Oryctolagus cuniculus: one gene and its partners. The protein of the gene in region 6 interacts with the protein of the main gene of each other region in a biochemical or structural test. Links are inferred from orthologs where the notes say so. Each region holds a gene or a part of one and is shown on either strand. Other genes may lie near its edges. The genes, in order: KLHL9, KLHL13, CDCA8, CENPA, RACGAP1 and AURKB.

What was found.
Region 1: the proteins of AURKB (region 6) and KLHL9 form a complex in vitro, tested with the Homo sapiens proteins (2 studies listed by BioGRID and IntAct, with this or other methods). The link is inferred for Oryctolagus cuniculus from reciprocal best matches to the Homo sapiens genes AURKB and KLHL9.
Region 2: of the proteins of AURKB (region 6) and KLHL13, one has a biochemical effect on the other in vitro, tested with the Homo sapiens proteins (2 studies listed by BioGRID and IntAct, with this or other methods). The link is inferred for Oryctolagus cuniculus from reciprocal best matches to the Homo sapiens genes AURKB and KLHL13.
Region 3: the proteins of AURKB (region 6) and CDCA8 form a complex in vitro, tested with the Homo sapiens proteins (3 studies listed by BioGRID, with this or other methods). The link is inferred for Oryctolagus cuniculus from reciprocal best matches to the Homo sapiens genes AURKB and CDCA8.
Region 4: of the proteins of AURKB (region 6) and CENPA, one has a biochemical effect on the other in vitro, tested with the Homo sapiens proteins (3 studies listed by BioGRID). The link is inferred for Oryctolagus cuniculus from reciprocal best matches to the Homo sapiens genes AURKB and CENPA.
Region 5: of the proteins of AURKB (region 6) and RACGAP1, one has a biochemical effect on the other in vitro, tested with the Homo sapiens proteins (2 studies listed by BioGRID and IntAct). The link is inferred for Oryctolagus cuniculus from reciprocal best matches to the Homo sapiens genes AURKB and RACGAP1.

Annotation. Positions count from the first base shown.
Region 1 is NC_091432.1:184,421,224-184,425,346, forward strand, and holds the start of KLHL9 (kelch-like protein 9), read left to right. Parts: upstream 1-1,323; coding exon 1,324-3,177; 3' UTR 3,178-4,123.
Region 2 is NC_091453.1:75,280,473-75,283,972, reverse strand, and holds part of KLHL13 (kelch-like protein 13), read right to left. Parts: coding exon 3,405-3,500; intron 1,101-3,404; coding exon 613-1,100; 3' UTR 1-612. UniProt on the Homo sapiens protein: Substrate-specific adapter of a BCR (BTB-CUL3-RBX1) E3 ubiquitin-protein ligase complex required for mitotic progression and cytokinesis.
Region 3 is NC_091438.1:135,068,874-135,072,321, reverse strand, and holds the end of CDCA8 (borealin), read left to right. Parts: intron 1-229; coding exon 230-356; intron 357-1,200; coding exon 1,201-1,287; intron 1,288-2,149; coding exon 2,150-2,194; 3' UTR 2,195-2,948; downstream 2,949-3,448.
Region 4 is NC_091433.1:176,093,482-176,097,298, reverse strand, and holds the end of CENPA (histone H3-like centromeric protein A), read left to right. Parts: intron 1-1,211; coding exon 1,212-1,318; exon of another isoform or gene 1,319-1,829; coding exon 1,830-1,907; intron 1,908-2,198; coding exon 2,199-2,333; 3' UTR 2,334-3,317; downstream 3,318-3,817. UniProt on the Homo sapiens protein: Histone H3-like nucleosomal protein that is specifically found in centromeric nucleosomes. Replaces conventional H3 in the nucleosome core of centromeric chromatin that serves as an assembly site for the inner kinetochore.
Region 5 is NC_091442.1:53,334,963-53,338,462, reverse strand, and holds part of RACGAP1 (rac GTPase-activating protein 1), read left to right. Parts: intron 1-174; coding exon 175-270; intron 271-358; coding exon 359-557; intron 558-2,856; coding exon 2,857-2,962; intron 2,963-3,131; coding exon 3,132-3,264; intron 3,265-3,391; coding exon 3,392-3,500.
Region 6 is NC_091448.1:52,688,683-52,692,868, reverse strand, and holds the start of AURKB (aurora kinase B), read left to right. Parts: upstream 1-1,386; 5' UTR 1,387-1,471; intron 1,472-1,735; exon of another isoform or gene 1,736-1,758; 5' UTR 1,759-1,783; coding exon 1,784-1,831; intron 1,832-3,208; coding exon 3,209-3,311; intron 3,312-3,414; coding exon 3,415-3,466; intron 3,467-3,632; coding exon 3,633-3,824; intron 3,825-3,949; coding exon 3,950-4,088; intron 4,089-4,186. UniProt on the Homo sapiens protein: Serine/threonine-protein kinase component of the chromosomal passenger complex (CPC), a complex that acts as a key regulator of mitosis.

The DNA of each region.
Region 1 (4,123 bases), on a different chromosome or scaffold from region 6:
AGAAATACACTGTCGTGACAGTATTTCTGAAATATGGACTTAAATCAATATTCTACCAAACATAACCCAAAACAGGGTGAGTTTCTATTAAGTTGATTTTAGTTTCTATAGGACAAGAGAGGCTAAGAATGTATATATCCAGGTAAAAATAATGGTCAAAGAAACTATGTTATGTAACTAGTGGAAAATTGTGCATTTAAAATGTGAGTGGTAATCAAAAGCTTGAAAAAAAATTATGATGGCATTGCATTGTTAAGCCAGAAATGATGAATATACTAGGTTTTTACTATTCGTATGGTCACATTTTACTAGCGACAAATACTATGTTTCCAACGATAAAAATTTCAAATATGAACCCAAATCATTGAAGTGTCTGTTAAATTATACCGGGTAAAATTTATGAAGTGTTTTATAGAGAAAGATCATTTAAGCATCCTCCCCCTACGGTTACTTTGCCAGGCGGCCTCTCAATTTATACAAAAATCGTTCTTATTTCATTGTTAGAAGCGGCCAGCGAGCCTACACCTTAAAGAAGAATCCAGACTCATCTACACCAAATGCGCGTGTAACTTACGGGTACTCCTTCCGGCCTACCCAGCCTCACGCACACGGAGACTCCCCCGCGCCCCGCTACCACCCACCTGCGACCGCTCGGCTTCTCCAACCCCCGCACGCCCCGCCCATCCCGCTCTTCCTCCCCCTCCCGGACACGTCGGCAAGCCCGCCCACCAATCAGGGCAGACGGCTGCGCAGGCGCAGTAGTTCCCACGGACGCTCCTAGCCCGGGGGATCCTGGGACTAGGCCTTTCCGGAAGGATCGGCTCGGCGTCAGTGGCTAATTCTGTGTTCCCGGCCCAGGCCCAAGGCCAGGCGGTGTTCCAGGCCCTTGCTGCAAAACTGGCCGGTGGCCGCGGCGACGGTCGAGTGACAGCGGAAGGCGCAGGCGGCCGCCCGCGGAGGAGCCCGGTCGCGCCGCAGAGTGAGCGGCGGAGCCTCAGTACGTGGCGGCACCTCCCCCTCGGCTGCGAGCGGAACTGCTGAAGGAGCGGCAGCGCAGGCCAGACGAGGTGAACCGGGTCATTTAACTGCCTTAAGGTGATGAATCGCCAGCCTAATAATTAGATTTGAGGTCCACCGCCGTTTGTGGCCCTGCCGCTGGAGAGTTTCCAGTGGACGACTGACTGGTGTGTCCTGAGGGGCGCCACGGTGACTGCTCGTCCTTGCTAGGGGAAGTGAGCTCTGTGGACATCTCTGTTTCCTGAAAAACATTCGGGTTATAATTGCTTTCTTCGGCATACATCTGTACAAGAGGGAGGCTTTCACATGAAAGTGTCTCTCGGTAACGGCGAAATGGGCGTCTCTGCCCATCTGCAACCTTGCAAGACGGGAACCACACGGTTTTTTACCAGCAATACTCACAGTTCGGTGGTACTGCAAGGCTTTGATCAGCTTAGAATAGAAGGTTTGCTTTGTGATGTGACCCTGGTACCGGGCGATGGAGATGAAATCTTCCCTGTTCACAGAGCGATGATGGCTTCTGCTAGTGATTATTTCAAGGCTATGTTCACAGGTGGAATGAAAGAGCAAGATTTAATGTGCATTAAGCTTCATGGGGTGAACAAGGTTGGTCTGAAGAAAATCATTGATTTTATTTATACTGCAAAACTTTCTCTTAACATGGACAATCTTCAGGACACTCTTGAAGCTGCTAGCTTCTTACAAATCTTACCCGTTTTGGATTTCTGTAAAGTATTTCTTATATCAGGAGTCTCTTTGGATAACTGCGTTGAGGTTGGACGAATTGCTAACACCTACAATCTAATAGAAGTGGATAAATATGTTAATAATTTCATCTTGAAGAACTTCCCTGCTTTACTGAGTACTGGAGAGTTTCTAAAACTCCCTTTTGAACGGCTTGCCTTTGTGCTTTCCAGTAATAGTCTAAAGCACTGTACTGAACTTGAACTATTCAAGGCTGCCTGTCGATGGCTAAGGTTGGAAGATCCTCGGATGGATTATGCTGCAAAATTAATGAAGAATATTCGATTTCCACTGATGACACCACAGGACCTCATCAATTATGTGCAGACCGTGGATTTCATGAGAACAGACAATACCTGTGTGAACTTGCTTTTGGAAGCTAGCAACTACCAAATGATGCCATATATGCAGCCAGTGATGCAGTCTGACAGAACTGCCATTCGGTCTGACTCTACGCACTTGGTTACCTTAGGGGGAGTGTTGAGGCAACAGCTGGTTGTCAGTAAAGAATTAAGGATGTATGATGAAAGAGCACAAGAGTGGAGATCTTTAGCCCCCATGGATGCTCCTCGTTACCAGCATGGCATTGCTGTCATTGGAAACTTCCTTTATGTGGTTGGTGGTCAAAGTAATTATGATACAAAAGGAAAAACTGCTGTCGATACAGTTTTTAGATTTGATCCTCGATATAATAAATGGATGCAAGTTGCATCATTAAATGAAAAGCGCACTTTCTTCCACTTGAGTGCTCTCAAAGGACATTTGTATGCAGTTGGAGGGCGCAGTGCAGCTGGTGAACTGGCCACAGTAGAATGTTACAACCCACGAATGAATGAGTGGAGCTATGTTGCAAAAATGAGTGAACCCCATTATGGCCATGCTGGAACAGTGTATGGAGGCTTAATGTATATTTCAGGAGGAATTACCCATGACACTTTCCAAAATGAGCTCATGTGTTTTGACCCGGATACAGACAAATGGACACAGAAGGCCCCAATGACTACAGTCAGAGGATTGCATTGCATGTGTACAGTTGGAGATAAGCTCTATGTCATCGGTGGCAATCACTTCAGAGGAACAAGTGATTATGATGATGTTCTAAGCTGTGAATACTATTCACCAACGCTTGACCAGTGGACACCAATTGCTGCCATGTTAAGAGGTCAAAGTGATGTTGGAGTTGCTGTCTTTGAAAATAAAATCTACGTTGTTGGTGGATATTCTTGGAATAATCGTTGTATGGTAGAAATTGTCCAGAAATATGATCCAGAAAAAGATGAGTGGCATAAAGTTTTTGACCTTCCAGAGTCACTCGGTGGCATCCGAGCTTGTACCCTCACGGTTTTTCCCCCTGAAGAAAACCCTGGATCACCTTCTAGAGAGTCGCCACTCTCAGCACCTTCAGATCATTCTTAGATCTAAGGTGTTATATCTTGGCAGTTCTTCATGGATGATCTCCTATTTCCCCTTCAGTTGTATCTTCTTCACAATGGTTGGTAGTTGTGAGATAAAAAGGTAACATTATTTGTCTTGTTTGGCTTTGTTTATCAGGTGGCTAACAAATGCATTCTGAAAGTGTATTCAACATAGCTGTTTTAACAAATGAAAGGAGATATGCAGAACAATGTTTAAATTAGATGTCTCTTTGTGGTGTTATTAAGTCAAATTGTAGGTGACTGTAGTAAATGTAATTGTGTGCATTATCCTTCAAAATTTTCATCTTTGAAAAACATCAAGGGGAGGTCTGCTGTAACCTAAAATAATAAATGAAAAGTCACCAATTATTAGCTACCTCCCTCTTTTCAGAGTTTTTCACACATGTCAACTCATTTGGTTTTGTGGTTGCATATGGAGTATGTGAAGTTTCTTAGGTCTTAGGCAGATAGGAGAAATAACAAAAATATTAACCAGAGAAACCAGTTTAGCCCTAAGTCAGCATTTGGTTTCTCTCCCTGGAGACAGTGGAAGGGTGAAAGAAAATATATGCATAATAAGACAAATAGGTACACACATATATAATTTTAAAATTAATTGGACTGTTTTAACCATAGTGACATTGTTCTTAAATTTGAATTGTTTCCATTAATCAGCTATTTAAGTGGGAATTCAGTATCAGAGAATAAATATCTGTATAGTCATACTGAATTTAGATAAGGGCTACAACATTCTAAATTGACAACTGTATTTGTCATTTGACTATAAATTGTTACTTCAGATGAAACTTACATTTTTCTGCTTGTATATTTTCTTTAGAGTTGCTCTTATACATGTTATTTAGCAAAGTTCAGAATTCATAGAATTTGCTTTTTCCCAATAAATTTAGGCTCTGCTATTTTCTACCTTTTCAGTAAGGCTTAGGATA
Region 2 (3,500 bases), on a different chromosome or scaffold from region 6:
ATTGGAGAATTCCAGTCATTTCTCCTGTGTGTCTAAGAAACTTCATATGTTCTCAATGCACCCACACAGTTAGGTGGGTTGACAGTTATGTCAAAAATACTTTATGAAAAGAGGGAGGTTGCTCATGCGAATTGGCAACCTTTGTGTATGGTTTCCTGTTGGAGCAGCCTGCCTCCCTTTGACATCTCACAGTCAAAGATGAAAGGAAAACTGTTTACTTTGAAGTCTAGTGAACACAGTTGTACATTTTCTATCATCCACCTTCAACTTGGCTTATTGGGCTTAATAATGTAAGATGACAAATACGTTACACCCAGTACACAGCATTTAAAAAGTACTGAAGAAACATTTTTATAGACAATACCTTTTTTTTTTCATATGTTAAACATCAGCTTCTATGGGAAACATTGCCAGAATGGTTTTGTTACCACTTTATAAACATTCTAAGCCAAACAAACAGCACAAAGAACATCAAAGTCATCTTTTTTCCAATAGCTGTATCAATTACTGGAGGCTAATCCTAACATATATACTACTAAAGGGGAGAAAAAGAAGAGAACTCGTGACACATTGCAAAGATAGGACTACAGCATCTTAGTTGTACGAATGATCTTAAGGTGCAGAAAGAGGAGACTCTCTAGAAGGTGATGGTGTGGTTTCCTCAGGTGGAAAAACTGTAAGTGTGCAAGCTCGAATGCCACCCAGGGACTCTGGGAGATCAAAAACCTTATGCCATTCATCTTTATCGGGATCATATTTCTGCACTATCTCTACCATACAACGGTTATTCCAAGAGTACCCACCAACCACATATATTTTATTTTCAAAGACAGCGACCCCAACATCACTCTGCCCTCTTAACATGGCAGCAATTGGGGTCCACTGATCAAGGATAGGTGAATAGTATTCACAGCTTAGGACATCATCGTAATCACTGGTTCCTCTGAAGTGATTGCCGCCAATGACATAGAGCCTTTCTCCCACTGTACACATACAATGCAGACCTCGCACAGTGGTCATTGGCGCCTTCTGGATCCATTTGTCAGTATCAGGGTCAAAGCACATGAGCTCCTTTTGGAAAGTATCATGAGTAATTCCTCCTAAAGAATGAAAAGAATAAGCATAAGGGATTATGTTAAAAAGGCAGAAGTAAGTAATGGCTCACCGTCATAATCAATTTTTAGCAACACATTAAGAAACATCAACAGTGTTCTTAAAATGTCTAAACTCTATAAATAATTTTCCTGGAAATTATATTTTCATCTTATTAAAGGATAAAAAATTGCTTGTACTATTGGGAGACCCCATGGTATTTAAGAGGCTTTACTGAACTGAAGATACAGTTTGGCCACTATTGGGTCTGTGATAAATCCCAACTACAAAGCAACACTCACTCCTTGCTATATTTTAGTGAGTACTCTCTGGGTACCAAGTAATGGGCCAGAGTACATTAAATTCCAATTGCCCATTTCCTCAACTTGCCAAATAAGAATATCTGCTTCTTGTTATGCCGTTAGTGTGATGTTCAGGTCAGATACTTATGGAAATGCTTTGAAAAGATCTCTTTAAACAAATAAGGTTATAAAATGCTCTGAACTGTTTATTCTTAGGGAGGTTTTGGTGGGTTGGGTGAGGAAGGGTAATATCATCTGTGTCAGAACAATTAAAAAGGTAAAAATTATAATGCTCAATATATGTGAAATTTCATACATGCAGAAATTTATTTTTGATCTGTTACATTCATATCATCTGCTAAGTGTATTCTTGGATCACATATAAATTGGCCTCTAAAATGAAAGCATCAGGGCTGACACTGTGGTACAGTGGGTTACATTTCCACTTGCAACACCAGCATCCCATAGAAGAGTGCTGGGTCAAGTCCTGGATGCTCTGCTTCTGATCCAGATTCCTAGTAATGCGCCTGGGAAATCAATAGAAGATAGCCCCTGCTACCCATGTGGGAGACCTGAATGGGGGTCCTGGCTTTAGCCTGGAGCAGCCCTGACTTGTGCAGCCATCTGGAGAATACACCAGTGGCTGGAAGCATGTGCATGCACTCTGTCACTCTACCTTTCAAAAATATATACATAATGTTTTTAATGTTAGTATCAGACTGTATCTTCTACAGACAAGGGAAAGAACTGAGATAATGTTTAACCAAATCATTTTAATCTATATTATAGAGTGTCTAGATAGCAATCACTATTTACTTCTGCTCTTTAAACACTTTTTATTCTGAATTTTTAATTCTGATTTATAGAATTCCCAGAAAGTGAAACAGTACTCATTGTTGGAAAATCAGCAGTTTTTCCTATTCTATTCATGGTCAGGAATATCATTTGCGCAATATATACCAATTATGCCAAAGCATCAATAAAACAATTCTGGTGTCATTTCCCCCCGCCCCCCAGAGGATTTGTAGCTCTCATTATAATGGTATAGTAGCTACACATATAAAATAGGGAAATGGTGTAAATCATTGACTAGTGGAGCCTGTGGTTTCTGGGATGGCTATTTCAATATTAAATATCCCATAGTTGCTCATGCATTGATACCAGAAACCTGCTAATCACATGCCACAGGCCTATCACTGATCCTTCTTGATTACATAAGGCAGCATTCAAAGAATCAGACCACAAACATCACCTTAACACCCTTGTTCTCCAATAATCTAACTGTTGGTCTGCCACTGGCAGGCCTCCAATTAGGGAACATAACTTTCACAAGTAGACTGTGTCAGGGCCAAATGATAAGAAACTGCCTTACAAATAAATATCAACACCAGAGGTGATCAAGTAAAGACTTCTTTCTGAATTCTATGGAAGGGTTATTTGAACACCAACAATTTGAGAATGAAAGTTGTTTCTAGGACAGTGGAAATAAACCTCAACCATCATAGAATTTTATAATAGAAACATATCTACATGTACCAAAAATACAGATAAATACCACGGAATTAGAATCCCATTATAATTCTAGCAAGAAAGGAAACACATACATGTTATGAGTTATGCTAAAAGAGAATAGACATCATGTGTTATCATTTGGGAGCATACTTTAGGCATTATGTTATATGATGATTTATTTCCTCACATGGGTTAGCTGCATTTTAAATAAAAAACATCATTGCAATAGAGAACACATGAATGGTATTTGTTATAATACAGAGTAATGGAATGGAAAGCAAATTAGAGAATCTGAACACTTTTTAGTTTCTTCTAAGTTATACAATTTATAGCAGGAATGGTTGGCTGCTGGTCTTGTGAACTTACAGAATGCTTATTCACAGGAAAATTAACACACAAAATGCCTTCTAAAATAAACATTAACATTTTGATGTAAAAAAGATCATAGAGCTAAAAGCTCACATTTTTTGTGTGTGTGTCCACATGGCAATTATTTACCTGAAATATACATCACTCCTCCATATACAGTTCCAGCATGGCCATAGTGGGGCTCACTCATTTTGGCAACATAGGTCCACTCGTTTGTTCTTGGAT
Region 3 (3,448 bases), on a different chromosome or scaffold from region 6:
GTTGACTTTTGTTAGATGTATGTTTGGTAATTACACCCTCCTTTCTCCAGCTGTGTTTAGTCATTACTGCTTTAAAAAAAAATGTTTTCCCTAAATTTAGAACTCGCCTTCTTAGAAACATGTGATTTTGAAAACTTCAGCTTGAGACCAGATGGGGGTTGGAAGGGCTCCCTGTGCCTGGTGTCATTCAATCTGCCAGGCTGACTTCACAGACTTTCCCACTCTGCAGAGTCTTCAAGACCCCAGGCCTGCGCACTCCAGCAGCCAGAGAGCAGATCTACAACATCTCTGTGAATGGCAGCCCCCTGGCCGACAGCAAAGAGATCTCCCTCACTGTGCCCGTGGGCGGCGGCGCGGTACAGTATTTCTTGGGAAGCCAGGCCGCGGTGTGCTGCTTCGTGGAGCGCCTGCCTTCCCTGGGCCCTCACTCACTTCTCTCATCAGGGGTCTGCTAGTTATGTGGGTCCTGAGCTCCACACTCCTGCAGGACTCAGAACCTGGTTTTCTTTCCCAAGTCAGGGGCCCAGGCTGGGAGGATCCCTGACCATCGCTGGCTTCTGTTTGCCCACCTGACTGTAGCAAGCCTGAGGGCCATGGCTCTTGTCATTGCAAAGCAGTTCAGGAGTCAGATGGGTTGGCAAGCATAGTATCTGTAGTAGCTGCACTAACGGGGATTTGTTTTTGTTTTTAAGACTCATTTATTTGATGGGCAGAGTGACAGAGAGAGACAGAGATAGATCTTTCATGCGTTGGTTCACTCCTCAAATGACTGCAATAGCCATTCTGGGCAAGGCTAAAGGCAGGAGTCTTGAACTCCAGCTGGGTCTCTCACGTGGGTGGTAGGGGTCCAAGCACTTGGGCCATCTTCGCTGCTTTCCCAGGTGCATTAGCAGGGAGCTGGATCAGAAGCAGAGCAGCCAGGACTTGAAGTGGCGCTCCAGTGTGGGGTGTCAGTGCCGCAGGCAGCAGCTTAACCCACTGTGCCACAGCGCCAGCCCCAGCTCACGGGGCTGCTGAAGGGTGCAGAGGAGGCCACTGCTGAGGAGTGCACTTCGTCTAGAAAGGCCACTGCTCCATCTCAGCCACTCCCTGCCAGCAAGTGCAGGATGTCACAGAGACGCCGGGGCACACCACGGGGATGCTGGGTGAGGTCCCTGCCCTGAGGGACCTGCCAGTGTAACCCATTCTCCTCCCTTACAGAGCGTGCGGTTATTGGCCAGTGACTTGCAGAGGGTCGACATTGCACAGCTGGACCCAGAGGCCTTGGGAAACATTAAGAAGCTCTCTGTAAGTCTCAAGTTCATCTCCACACGTAGTATGTCTCCAGTAGCTTTCTAGGGGCAGCTCTCCCTGGGGTCGGGGCTAATACTTAGAATCCTGCTGCCTTCTTTGCCTCAAGGGGTTTTTCAACTGTGACCCTGCTGACACTGCAGCAGTTCTGTCCAGGTGAGGCTGAGTTTGGTGCCTGCCCTTGGCATTTCTCCAGCACACCTTTGCCGCCTCTGTGCGTGTGACTTTTTCCGCAGGGAACTTGGTTCTACTCCCTCAACAGTGATTTGCACCTGGCTTTGGGGAACCACACCTCCAGCTCTAACTCTGTCACTCTTTGGAGAACCACACCTCCAGCTCTAACTCTATCACTCCAGTGTCCAGCACTGTTTGGCTTGCTGTCTGGACATAAGTTCTCAAGAGAGGATTGAATTGACTCAGCTTGACTCAGATAAACATCCCAGGTCCAGTCAGCTATGGTCTTGGGAGGCAAATGGGAGTGCTTAGAACATGCATGACTGCCACAGGCCCACCCTTCTGTGGGGTCTGCGAGGGGTACGTCCACGGAGGGGGACAAGGGCAGAGCTGGCTTCCCAAACCCCAGCCCGGTGCCAAGGTCCCACGCATACCCAGCTGCCCAGCTCTTGCAGCAGTCATCCTGTAGCCGGGCCCAGGGCATCGCTGTTCCCAGGTGTGCCTTCCTGATCTCATCTGAGCTGTTGCTCTCCTCCTTTGTGCAGGCGAGAAGCTGAGTTGCAGAAAGGCCCATTCATGTGTGGCACAAACAGAGAAGAGGGGCTGAGACTCACTCAGACCGAGTGGCTTTTAGCCCGAGTGCCAAGTGCTTGTGTTTGAAGTGACCCATCTGCTTTGCTTTTAGAGCCGTCTCGCCCAAATCTGCAGCAGCATCCGGACCCACAAATGAGAAGGCGGCAGAGCCGGACCGGGCGTAGCGCGACCACTGCGGCAGGACTCGGAGGTCTCCCCTCTTCCTCCCCCTCCCGTGGGGGCACTGCGTGGGCCCGCAGCACCTCTCACGTCCTGTGCCCAGTCGTTCTTTTCAGGATGACTTGTGGAACAGTTTTTGTGTTTATCCTGTTTATCGAAGACCAAAAATTGGCTTGGAGGCAGCTTCCATGTCTTGCACGTCTACCTCTCCAGTTAGTTGGAACGTGGACAAAGGGACTGTAGACTTAGCATCTAGGCTAAATCTACATGTGTGACTGGCCGCAGAGTAACTGTCCCTAAGCTCTCTGAGGCCCAGTGGTCGCTGCAGGGTGGATGGACTCTGCAGAAAGCACTTCTCTCGTAGGGGGCTCCTGGGGGTGGGGGGCACGTGTGACTTGTGTGGTGGCCTTGTTCCGCATGTTTAGTCTGTGCCCTGGACACAGGTGAATTCTGCCCCAAACTGTCCTGGGCTGGGTTCCCAGGATTTGGGAGCCAGGGTTCTCCCACAGGCTTGGAAGCACAGTTTCCCCTGGGAATGGTTTCTGTTATTTTAGGACATGATCAATCTAGTGATGCAGCCCTGTGCAAGTCGAATCGTTTTTAAGTTGCTTGTTCTCCTTTTCCTGAGACTTCTGTACACACTGTTTTCCTGAGTGATGGTATCTTGATGGTTTTAATCAGAGCTTCTGAAAGGTACCTGCTTTCAATAAATTCTGGTTTGGTTTTTTTAATCACTCATCAGCCTGCCTGCCATCTTGCAGCTGTGCTACCTGGACTGGAGTGAGAGTCTGGGGACAGCTGCTGTCCTCAGGAGCTGAGGCAGCATCTCTTATATCTGAACGGGGACTCACGCCAAGTTCCAGTAACCTCAGCCCCTAAGCCGGTCTCCCAGCACCTCCATCCTGGGGGCTAGAAATGTACACACAGGACAGAAACCAGGACACCACAGTTAACCTGTACAGCGAGGTCTCGGCGGCCAGGAACAAAGCAGGGGCAGGCGTCAGCGATCCTGCTTCTCACTTCCCAGAGTCCCAGGGGCCCTGGCAGAAACTACCTATGTTGAGAACACTCAGCACGGACCTCAAGTGGCAGAGGGCTCTGCCTGAAAGACATCCTGGAGCTGGGACTCAGCCAGGTTGCTGAATACAGTTTGGAGCCCTTCTGGTCAGCCAGCATTTGGAGGAAAGGTTACTGCCTGCAAAGCAGCAGTCCCGCCTACAAGTCCCCACAC
Region 4 (3,817 bases), on a different chromosome or scaffold from region 6:
TCCATCCACCCCTCTGCAGCTCTCCGCACACGGCGCCAGAGGGTCTTATTTTTATTTTTTAAGATTTTATTTATTTATTTGAGGGGTAGAGCTACAGACAGAGAGAGGGAGAGACAGAGAAAGAGGTCTTCCTTCTGCTGATTCACTCCCCAAATGGCCGCAATGGCCGGAGCTGCGCCTATCTAAAGCCAGGAGCCCGGAGCTGCTTCCAGGTCTCCCACATGGGTGCAGGGGCCCAAGGACTTGGGCCATCTTCTACTGCTTTCCCAGGCCACAGAAGAGAGCTGGATTGGAAGAGGAGCAGCCGGGACTAGAACCGGCGCCCATATGGGATGCCAGCACTGCAGGCAGAGGATTAACCTACTGCACCTCAGTGCCAGCCCCTGAGAGGATCTTTAACCCGGAAGTAGATCAGCTTTTCCTCTCTCTTCCTGAACACTTTCCCTGGCTTCCGGTCACTTTAGGATTAAATCCCAGCTCCTTATGTTGGCGTTTCAAGACCCAGCTGCTGCATGTTCTGATTTGTGAAATTCATTTGAAAGACAGAGCTGTCATCCACTGGTTCACTCCCCAAATACCTGCAAGGGCGGGGGCTGGGCCAGGTCGAAGCCAGGAGCAGGAAACTTAATCCAGACCTCCCTCATGGGTGGCAGGGACCTACCCCTTGAGCCATCACCCACTGCCTTCCAGGGTGCCAGGCTCAGGTGCGGAGCTGGGACTTGAACCCCAGCACTGTGGTGTGGCAGTGCTCTCCACACACAGCTGACTGCATCTCTGATCCCGGCTCTTCCCCGTGAGCTTTCCCTGGTCGCTTCTCACGTATTCGCATCACGGATTTCCTGTCTCGCCCCTCTGAGGTCATCGCCTGTATTTAAGGGCTCTCCTTTCTCTGCTACCTCAGATTCCTCCGGAGTGGTTTTTCTGTTGAGTTGGGTTCCTTCCGCTCGCGGTGTCCTTTCTCAGATCGTGTGGTGACCTTTCGTCGTGTCCCTCTTCACCTTGTGTGACGCCGGGCCTTGTGTGTGAAGGCTGCTGATGGGCGGTGGAGACGAGGCGGGGTCAGCCTGTGCGTCCTCCCTGTTCCTGACCCCACCCGGGTCAGCTGCCTGGCTCAAGCCCCTCTGGTGGCCTCCCCTCCCCCACCTTCTCAATGCTCTGTGTGTGCTCCCCCACCCCGCTTTCCCCTGCTGACCCCGCGCACACCTCTGCAGGCGCGGCCTCGCAGCACAGACGGCGGCGGCACGCGTGGCTGAAGGAGATGCGCAAGCTACAGAAGAGCACGGACCTGCTGCTGAGGAAGCTGCCGTTCGCCCGCGTGGTGAGCTCAGGGCGCCCCGGCCCGGCGTGGCCCCTGTCCCTCACCTTCTCCCCCTGCGGGGGCCCTTGGTCTGGACCCACACCACCTTCGCTTCTCCACAGCTCCCCCACACCTTTGAAGCTGTCTTACTCTTTGTAACAGTTGTGTGTATGGGCACTGTGAGAGCTCGGGTCCACGCCTGTGTGTTAGGGTGGAGTCAGGGTTCCATCTCCTGGGGCAGGTCTCGCTTCTTTGTGTTGGGAACCTCGGGTCTTAGCGTCTGAAACTGTCTTTGAGTATGGAAAACGGAGCGCTGTCACCCATCCCTCGTGCTTTGGTCCCTTTTGCTGCCCTGGGGGAGTGCAGCAGGCCGACTCCTGTGCCCCAGAGGCAGCCCTGCTCCGCCCCAGGCACGTCCTGAGGTTGAGGGCCAGGAAGGACCAGTGGATTCCCTGGAGACTCTTGGAGAGAGCCCAGCTCTCCGAGCCTCTCGTCTGTTACTGCCTACTCCCCCATCCCCACTCCTCCACAGGCCAGAGAAATCAGCACCAGATTCACTCGGGGTGTGGACTTCAGCTGGCAAGCCCAGGCCCTGTTGGCCCTCCAGGAGGTGAGAGGGGGCCTGGGTGCAGCTGGGGGAAGGCCGGGTGGGAGGGACTAGCGTCCTGGATCCTGGTACTTGGCCGCAGACTCGCAGGCCGCAGCTGGCCGGGATCCCGAGCAGGGCAGCCGGGTCCCCCCGAGCAGTGGGGGGCTGCAGAATTCCCAGGCAGAGCCCAGTCTCCTGCACCGTCCTCCCTAACGTGCTTCGGGCGCTGGAGACGGAGGTCAGCGGGTCCCCAAGGAAAAGCAGCCGTGCCCCCACGTCTGCCATGTCCCCTCTGCCCCCTCCTGCCCCCAGGCGGCAGAAGCGTTCCTGGTTCACCTCTTTGAGGACGCCTATCTCCTCTCCTTGCACGCCGGCCGGGTCACCCTTTTCCCAAAGGATGTGCAGCTGGCCAGGAGGATCCGAGGCATCCAGGAGGGGCTTGGCTGAGCACCGGGCCGGAGTCTCCGCCAGCCTTCCTGTGCCCGGGCGCGGCACCCCGCTCTCAGCGCCGGGAGGGCTGTCCTTGGAGGAGCTGCCTTCTCTGTGCCCAGCCCCTTGTCATCTCAGCGTTCCTGGTGCTCACGAGACTGCCTGGGGGTGTGTGGGTCACACCTTCCCGTGCAGCGTTGAATAAAGATACTTTGCTACCACGTGACGAGCCAACGGCCACACCTGTAGCAGCGCTAAGCCTCTCCGTTTCACAAGGACCCGTGGCTTCGTTTTGATGAAGAGAGATTTTTTTGCTTCTGAAAATGCCTTGTTAGGAAAAGCGATTCCTGCGTGTCAGGGATGATGGCTGGGACGGCTTTGGTGCCCATGCGTAGTAGACCCGGGCATATCGGAGGGCCGCCTGGGCCGTGCTGTTGCAGAGCTGGGGTCCGGCTGGGGTCGGTTCTTTCCAGGAGAGGGTGGCCTGGCTGGCTGTGTAGTGGGCATCGGCACGGCTCCCGGCGCCTGGACGTCGTGTCGGCAGAGGTTCCAGGGCCTTCAGCTCGTGACCCGCACATCCGACCGATGAAGCTCCTGAAGACCTCAGCTGCGCACGGGCAGGAGGGGATCCTGGCTCGTTCCTGTGCCGTGCGTTTTTCACCCCGTGTGTGTTTAATCCGCTGCTGAGAACGTGAGAGGAAGCCCGAGAAGCGCCTGAATCAGCTGCGTGGGAAAGCCCAGCCTTCCCGGCCCGCAAGCCTGCGCCCCTCAGACGGGGCTGAACATTGGTGTTCTGGTTCCTTCCAGTCCTTCCCATCAAAATCGCTCGGAAGTTCTGACTTCCAGGATTCAGCATTTTCTTATTATTTGTAAACCACAGAAGTTGAATCTTATCAATCCATGATTTTAAAGTGCTTTTCCAGTGTTTTTATGGGTGTTTTTTAAGCTTACAGCTTCTTTGCAGAGAGATAATAAAAATAATTCTGTAATGAAAAAGTTAAAGCCAAGTTACTGTTTCCAGCAGGGCAACTATGCTGTTTTCTGTAATTTAAACTCTGCATTTCCGCACTGTGTACAGGCATCCATCGTTTCAACAAGGGGACTGAAGGGTGAGATTTGCCCCCAGTGAAGCAGAGGTGAACAAAGAAACCTTGGCCTTCTGCACGGCTGAGAGCATGGGAGGTTTCTGGAGAAATGGGGTCTGCTGTGGCGAAAATGCGGAGTGCGTGGGGCTGGCTGATGAGGACACCGTGTCAGACTGGAGGGAGGCACCAGGTCTCACTGTAATCACTTCTAGCCTTTTGGAAAAGCCTCTTCCTTTGGTGTGATGTCGTACCCGTGCTGGTGTGCCATACCCGTGTTGGCATGACATCATATGTGCTGGCATGACACTCATACTGGTGACGTCACACATGCTGGCATGACACACCTGTGCTGGTGTGATGTCACACCCATGCTGGCATGATGTCACACCCATGCTGGCATGGCATGCCCATGCTGGC
Region 5 (3,500 bases), on a different chromosome or scaffold from region 6:
GAACTGGTGCCCATGTGGGATGCTGCACCATAGGTGGCAGCTTTACCCACTATGCTACAGTGCCTGCCCTGGCAGTAGGAATTTAAAAGTAGACATGTTGTCCCATCCTGAGGGTTAGTGGAGGTAGTTCTTCACACGTGGTTTTTCAGTGGTAACTTGAAGCTCCTTTCACAGGGAATGCTGGCTGATTTTGTGTCCCAGACCTCTCCGATGATCCCTTCCATCATTGTCCACTGTGTAAATGAGATCGAGCAGAGAGGGCTGACTGAGGTAAGAATCGTCCTGACGACGGAATGAAATTGCTATTTGTGTCAAGCAATTACGTGGTTCTTAAGTAAAAGTGTCGTCTTTATACTAGACAGGACTGTATCGGGTCTCGGGCTGTGACAGGACCGTGAAGGAGCTGAAGGAGAAATTTCTCCGGGTGAAGACTGTCCCCCTGCTCAGCAAAGTGGATGACATTCATGCTGTCTGCAGCCTTCTGAAAGACTTCCTTCGAAACCTCAAAGAACCTCTTCTGACTTTTCGGCTAAACAAAGCTTTCATGGAAGCCGCAGGTATGGGCAGATCTTAATATTTGAATGTGAATTCCAGCAAGGCAGAATAAATTTCCATTTTTTTTTTCTTTACTGCTTTATCCACTACCCAATACAGTGCCTGCAAAGGGTAGGCACCCACAGGTTTGGTGGATGAATAGCTGCATGTGTATGTCCCCCATGCCTGATTGCTGTCTTTCTACACCATATAGGATAGTAATAGGTTTTCTCTCGCTCTGGTTTTTTGGGTCAAGTTTCAGGTTTGTCCTTTTGATGTTAAATCCATCTTTGATTCCTTTTCTTCTCATTCCACACCCAATCCCTTGTCAAGTCTCATCTGCAGGGGTGGGCACTTGCCCAGTGGTGAAGATGCCCCCGCCCCTAATCAAGTGCCTCAGTTGGAGGCCTTGCCCTGCTCAGATTGCAGCTTCCTGCTAACGCGACACCCTGGGAGGCTCATGTAATTGAGCAGCTAACTGATTGTTCTACTTCTGCCATTCCCTCTCCAGGATGATCTTCATAAGGAGCTAGAATGGCCCTTTTTACAATTAAATCCTCCAGAGACTTCCCATCATTATCAGAATAAAGTCCATGCCCCCCCCCCATAGTTGGAAACTTCCCAAGTGGTTTTTTTTTTTTTTCTTCTTTAATTTGAGAGGTAGAGTTACAGACAGAGAGAGGGAGAGACAGAGAGAAAGGTCTTCATCTGCTGGTTCACTCCCCAAATGGCCACAGTGGCCAGAGCTGGGCCAATCCGAAGCCAGGATCCAGGAGTCTTCCAGGTCTTTCACTGCTTTTGCAGGCCATAGCAATGAGCCAGAGGAGAAGCCAGAACTCGAACTGGTGCCCATATGGGATGCTTGGTGTCTCAGGTGGAAGCTTAGCCCATCATACCACAGAGCAGCCCCCCATACCCCAAGTCTTTTTATTTCAGGATTTACTTATTTTTTTGAAAGACAAAGAGGGGAAGAGATAACAGAGGGAGATCTGTCTGCTGCTTCACTCAAGGACCCTACATGAGGGGCTGGCATTGTGGTGCAGTCCCAGCTGCTCTGCTTCACAGGCAGCTCCCTGCTAATGTGCCTGGGAAAGCAGAGGAGGATGGCCCAAGTCCTTGGGCCCCTGCCACCCATGTGGGAGACCTGGATGGAGCCCCAGGCTCCTGGCTTCAGCCTTGATCAGCCCTGTCCATTGTGGCCATTTGAGGAGTGAACCAGTGGATGGAGGAACTCTGTCTGTATCTCTCTCTCTCATTCTCTCTCTCTGTCCCTTTCAAATAAATCCTAAATAAAAATAACTAAGTCTTAAAAAAGATCGAATGTGATTTGGCTTCTGGTTATCATTTTGTTCCCACCCCCTTTTCTTCTTTCCTTCCCCCGCAGTGGAATCTTGAGTTCCTTACTGCCCACCTCGAGGCCGTCACATTTGTTGTTGCCCAGCCTGCATTACTGCTACCCTAGACGTCTTCGTGATATCTCCTTCATTTCTTTCAGGCTTCTCTTCCCTGACCACCTTGTCTAAAGTAACAGTTCCCATTGCATTACAGCTTTAGTCTGCTCTGTTTTCTTTATTGTACGTATTACTACTTGATACCTATTTGTTCTTTGAATGTGTATTTGAAAGGCAGAGAGAGAGTGAGTGAGCTCCCAGGCACTGGTTCACTCCCCAAAAGCCTACATCTGGAAGCTGGGATAAAAGCTGGGAGCTGGGTACACAATCCGGGTCTCAGCTTGTGGATGGCAGGACACATATATTTAAGCCATCACCTGTGGACTCCCAGGATGTCCACTATCAGCAAGCTGAAATCTGAGCAGATCCAGGACTCAAACACTTTAATATGGAATGCAGGCATCCCACATGGCATCTTAGCTGGTAGCCAAACACCTGTCCCTGTGTTTCTTTGTCAACCAAATCCTCCAATAGAATAAACAGTCTACAAGGCAGGGGCTGTGTTTCCTTCTGCTGTATCATTGGTCCTTAGAAGAGTGCTGGGTGCACAGTAGACCCTTAGATATGTTTTATGAAGGAACACCTTGATAACTGTAGTTAGTTACTGCAGCTGTATCTACCTCCCAAACACATGGGTTGCCAGCTGTTTTTCCTAACAGCAAGGGCCTATTTTTAAAAAGTTCTGACTCGTAATATTGAGCTGTTGGCCAGTATCCTGCTTGCTAATGAAAGTAGAGTCTGATGTAGTCATGAACCTAATCAGAAGTTCCAGAAGCTTACTGTATAGAAGGGACTTTGTGGTCGATAACTCGGAAGCCCGCTGTCAAGGGAAAGAAGTTTAGGCCTCTCGGTGCTTTCTTTTCATTTATAGAAATCACAGATGAAGACAACAGCATAGCCGCCATGTACCAGGCTGTCGGTGAACTGCCCCAGGCCAACAGGGACACATTAGCTTTCCTCATGATTCACTTGCAGAGGTGAGTGCAGCAGAGACTTGCTCTGGGAGTTGGGGAATTTTTCAAGGGGAAGATAATGCGAGTTGGGTCTTAGGGAGTGTGAAAGGCGAATTGTTTTCTTGTACAATTTATATTTTGGTCTGCATTTAAGTAGAGGAGAAAGTCTTCTAATTTAAACTCTTTTGCTTAGAGTGGCTCAGAGTCCAAACACTAAAATGGATGTTGCCAATCTGGCTAAAGTCTTTGGACCTACAATAGTTGCCCATGCTGTGCCCAATCCAGACCCGGTAACAATGTTACAAGACATCAAGCGTCAGCCCAAGGTAAGTGTGTGTGCATGGGTGCCCACCTGTGGGCTCCTGCTCACTCCAGAACTTGTTTGTAGCATAAGAGAATGGTGAGAAGTAAGCTCTGTTTTGGAAGTTGGCTGACGTATGTGTTGGCTTTTAGGTAGTAGAGCGCCTGCTTTCACTGCCCGTGGAGTATTGGAGTCAGTTCATGATGGTGGAGCAGGAGAACGTCGACCCCCTGCATGTCATTGAAAACTCCAATGCCTTTT
Region 6 (4,186 bases):
AGGCATTAAATACTACTGTTAGCTGTCTCCAGATTTCTCAGAGGGCGCTAGCCTGGAGGCGTATGTATCTCCTTGCTTCTACTACGCTGAAAGTAAACAACAGAAAAACAAAGAAATGCAGCCCGGCCGCCCAGCGCCCAGCGAGCCTGGCCCTCCTTTTCTTGCCATCTCTTTCCTTGACTGATAGTGCCTTTGCTGGTGAGGCAGGCTTGGGTGGCTGGCAAGGAATGTGTCCTACCTCCCCGCCGTCCACACGGCACCCGCTGTCCAGGCTGGAACCTGGGCCTTGCCCTCCGCTCCCCTCCGCTCCGTCGCCCCTGGCCCTCCTCCTGCCAGAGTGGTCCCAATGTCTAGGGCGTCCTATAGAGCGAGACGGAGGCGGACAGGAGAGGGTGTGAGGCTAGCCCCCGACACGCCCGCTGCCCTCGCTGCCCATCCAAACTCGAGCCCCTGACTTGCGTTAGTTATTCTATAAGAAGACGCAAAGAGGCAATCCGTCTTCTCGCCTACATGTCTCTCTCTCTCACACACACACACCCATAACAAAATAGGAAGAAGTGCACATGAGAATCACACTCATTATTTCCGCAGCTGGTCACAAGGTCGTAGCTGGTATCTATAACCACCTTCCCGCTACCCCTTCCATATTACCCTCTAATTTCAGCAAACACCTCCTTCGCTGGTCGCCCCGAGCCTTTGCCCCTGGAGGGTCTCAGCCACCGCCATTTTGCATTCGTGAGTGTCGGTTAACACCTTAACTCAGGCCTGAAGTCCCACAGCATCCTGGTGGGAGCCGCGGCCCCATGCAGGAACCCGGCTTGCTGCTCCTCCTGGACTACCCTACCTACTGCCAAGCCTGCCCCGCACGGGGACAGCGGGCCTCTGGCTGCCGCCAGTGTAGACGCGAGGCACCGAACGCCTGCCTTGCTCACCAGGCTCACCACTTCCACCCGTCACTCAGCCCGTGGCAGGCAGGAGAGGACACTCGGCCCAGGCCACAGTCGCCGTTTCTTCCTGGCTAGCGCCTGCAGCTACTCGATGCACCTTTGTTCGGGTTTGAAGACCCGGTCCCCCCGCACGGGGACCCAAGGCCCGCGTTTAAATCCCGCTGGGAACCGGGGCAGCTCGCTTCACCCACGGTGCCGGCATCGGCGGCCCGGAAGGAAACGAACTTCGATCCTGGCTCACACAGTCTCCGTTTATATTAAAAATTCACACTTTTAAAAACGAAGAGAAAGCAAAAACTCCTCTCCCCGGGTCACCGGGGGAACTTTTCCCAAACCGGAACGGAGTCGGCGGCGGCTCGCCTTCCGCGGTTCCCATTGGGTCCCCTTGGCTACGTCATAGGTGAGAGATCCAATGAGAATTGGGCGAGGGTGGCGCCGGCAGCCAATGGGGCCAGAGCGGGAGATTTGAAAGCGCCTCGGCGGAGGCGCTGCCCGGCAGGTTCGGTAGTTCCCGGCGGCCTCAGGTGAGCCGGCCTCCGTTCGCGGGCCTCGGCCCGGTGCGGCCAGGGGCTCAGGCGGATCGCGGGGCTCCTGAGCGCTCAGGGGTGGAGAGAGAGGGTCCTGGAAGGGGGCTGGGCGGGTCCCGGCGCCGGGGCTGCGGGACGAGCGTCCGGGGTGTGGCCAGCCCTCTCGCCAGCCCGGACGGCGCTTCTGGCTGGATCCATCCGATCCCACCGCTGGTTTTTTTTTTTTTTTTTTTTTTTTTAATTCCCCTTTCTGCTTCTCAGGACTCTTTCCCTTCTCCGCCCAGGCGCCCTCCCCGCTACCCCGTGAGGATGGCCCAGAAGGAGAACGCCTACCCCTGGCCCTACAGCCGACCCACGGTAAGGCCACCCCGCCCCGCGGGACGCGCTGGACCACCCCCTCGGCACCGCCTGCCCCCTTATGCCCTAAGCGTGTTTTGTTCCACTTGGCCATGCGTCGATCACTGTTGGGAAGCAGGTTTTCAGGGCCCCCGGAGCCGCCTCCTTCCGGCTGAACTTGTGCCGTCTATTGGTGAGGCTTTGGTTCTGGTCTGGTGGTGGAGGGTCCATGTCTCCCCTGTGCGCCGGCTGCCTCCCTCGCGGAGCACTGAGCGAGGCCATTAAGAGCGGGTCTGAATGAGCCGCCATTGTCACTGCCAAAAGGAAGAAGTCTGTCCTGAAGTGGCATTGGCTGCCTCCCTGGCCTCATCTAAGCTCTAATCGGCTGAGCTTGCCAGTGTGCTGACGCTGTGGGGTTGGTTGACCAGGCCCTCACCTGGCCCCTGGTGTGAGGGTTGGGGGAGCCGGTGCGGTGTCATGGACAGGACTACACAGACTAGACAGTCATGCCTGAGACGGTGGCACAGGCCAGGGCCAAGGAGGTGAAATGTTAGGTGTTGGGGAGGAGTCCCCTGTTTTTGGCCCACTTGGGTTATTATTATTATTTTTTAAGGATTTATTTATTTATTTGAAAGATACAGAGAGAGAGAGTTCTTCCATCCGCTGGTTCACTCCTCAAATGCTCGTGACAGGCAGAGCTGGGCCAGGCCGGAGCCAGGAGCTTCCTCTGGGTCTCCCACACCGGTGCAGGGGCCCAAGCACTTGGGCCATCCTCCACTGCTTTCCCAGATGTATGAGTAGGGAGCTGGATGGGAAGTGGAGGGCCCATATGGGATGCTGGCACTGCAGGTGGCTTTACCCGCTGCACCAGTGCCGCCCCCTGCCCCACCTCTAGGCAGAGTGGACAGTAAGAGAGAGAGAGAGAGACAGAGAGAAAGGTCTTCCTTTTGCCTTTGGTTCACCCTCCAATGGCCGCCACGGCCGGCACGCTGTGGCCGGTGCACCGCGCTGATCCGAAGCCAGGAGCCAGGTGCTTCTCCTGGTCTCCCGTGGGGTGCAGGGCCCAAGCACTTGGGCCATCCTCCACTGCACTCCCTGGCCACAGCAGAGAGCTGGCCTGGAAGAGGCGCAACCGGGACAGAATCCGGCGCCCTGACCGGGACTAGAACCTGGTGTGCCGGCGCCGCAGGCAGAGGATTAATAACCCATTTTAACATGAGACTCTGAACAGAGTCTTGGGGCTGGAGGCCAAAACTGTCGTATCAGGGTTTTTCTCAGCACTGGGGGTGGACAGCACGTGGGAAGCTGTTTAGGCAGGAGCAGAAAAGCTGCTCGCGGCACATTCCAGCCGGGTCCCTGGGACAAAGGCGCCCTGGCGCTCCGCCTTCTCCTCCTTAGCCTCAGTCTGGCCTGAACACTCTGCCTCAGAGAATCCTGCGGAAGGAGGCTGCCACCCCCTCTGCCCTTGTCCTCATGAACCGCTCCAACGCCCCGCCCACAGGCAAGTGGCCCAGGAGGGAAAGCAGGGACTGGGGAGCTGGAGTCTACGGGACGGGTAGGGAGGATGTCCCAGCAGGGTCTCACCTCTCCCGCTCTCTCCTTAGCTGTCCTTGGGCAGAAGGGGATGGAGAACAGCAGTGGGGCACCCAACTTCACGTGAGTGCTCCCAGCCTGGAGGTGGCCAGCGGGAAGGGACGGCCTGGGACCGGCAGAAGTGGGGGAGCCGCGGTGGAGGTGGGGGGGCTGAGGGAGTGGGGAGAAAGCAGACTCCTGGGCTGCCCGGCAGGCCGGCGCTGAGCTGTGTCCCCCACTTGCTGAGCAGGCGGCCCTTCACCATCGACGACTTCGAGATCGGCCGTCCTCTGGGCAAAGGCAAATTTGGAAACGTGTACTTGGCCCGGGAGAAGAAGAGCCATTTCATCGTGGCACTCAAGGTCCTCTTCAAGTCTCAGATCGAGAAAGAGGGTGTGGAGCACCAGCTGCGCAGGGAGATCGAGATCCAGGCGCACCTGCAGTACGCCCCCGCCCCGGGAGTCCAGACTGTGGCCCCTGAGAGCTGGGTCCAGTTCCCCAGCCTGGGCCCTATCATCTTCCCTTTATGCCCGGATGTGGCCTGAGGCCTCCTGTCTCCTGCTGCAGGCATCCCAACATTCTGCGTCTCTACAACTATTTCTACGACCGGAGGAGAATCTACCTGATCCTGGAGTACGCCCCGCGCGGCGAGCTGTACAAGGAGCTGCAGAAAAGCCGCACTTTTGACGAGCAGCGAACAGCCACGGTCGGGGCGGGTGGGCACCTGGGACCCCGGCTGGGGGCTTGAGGCTGGGGGCACGCTGCCTGTGGCCGCGGGGCTGTCCTTGTCTGACTGCCTGTCCC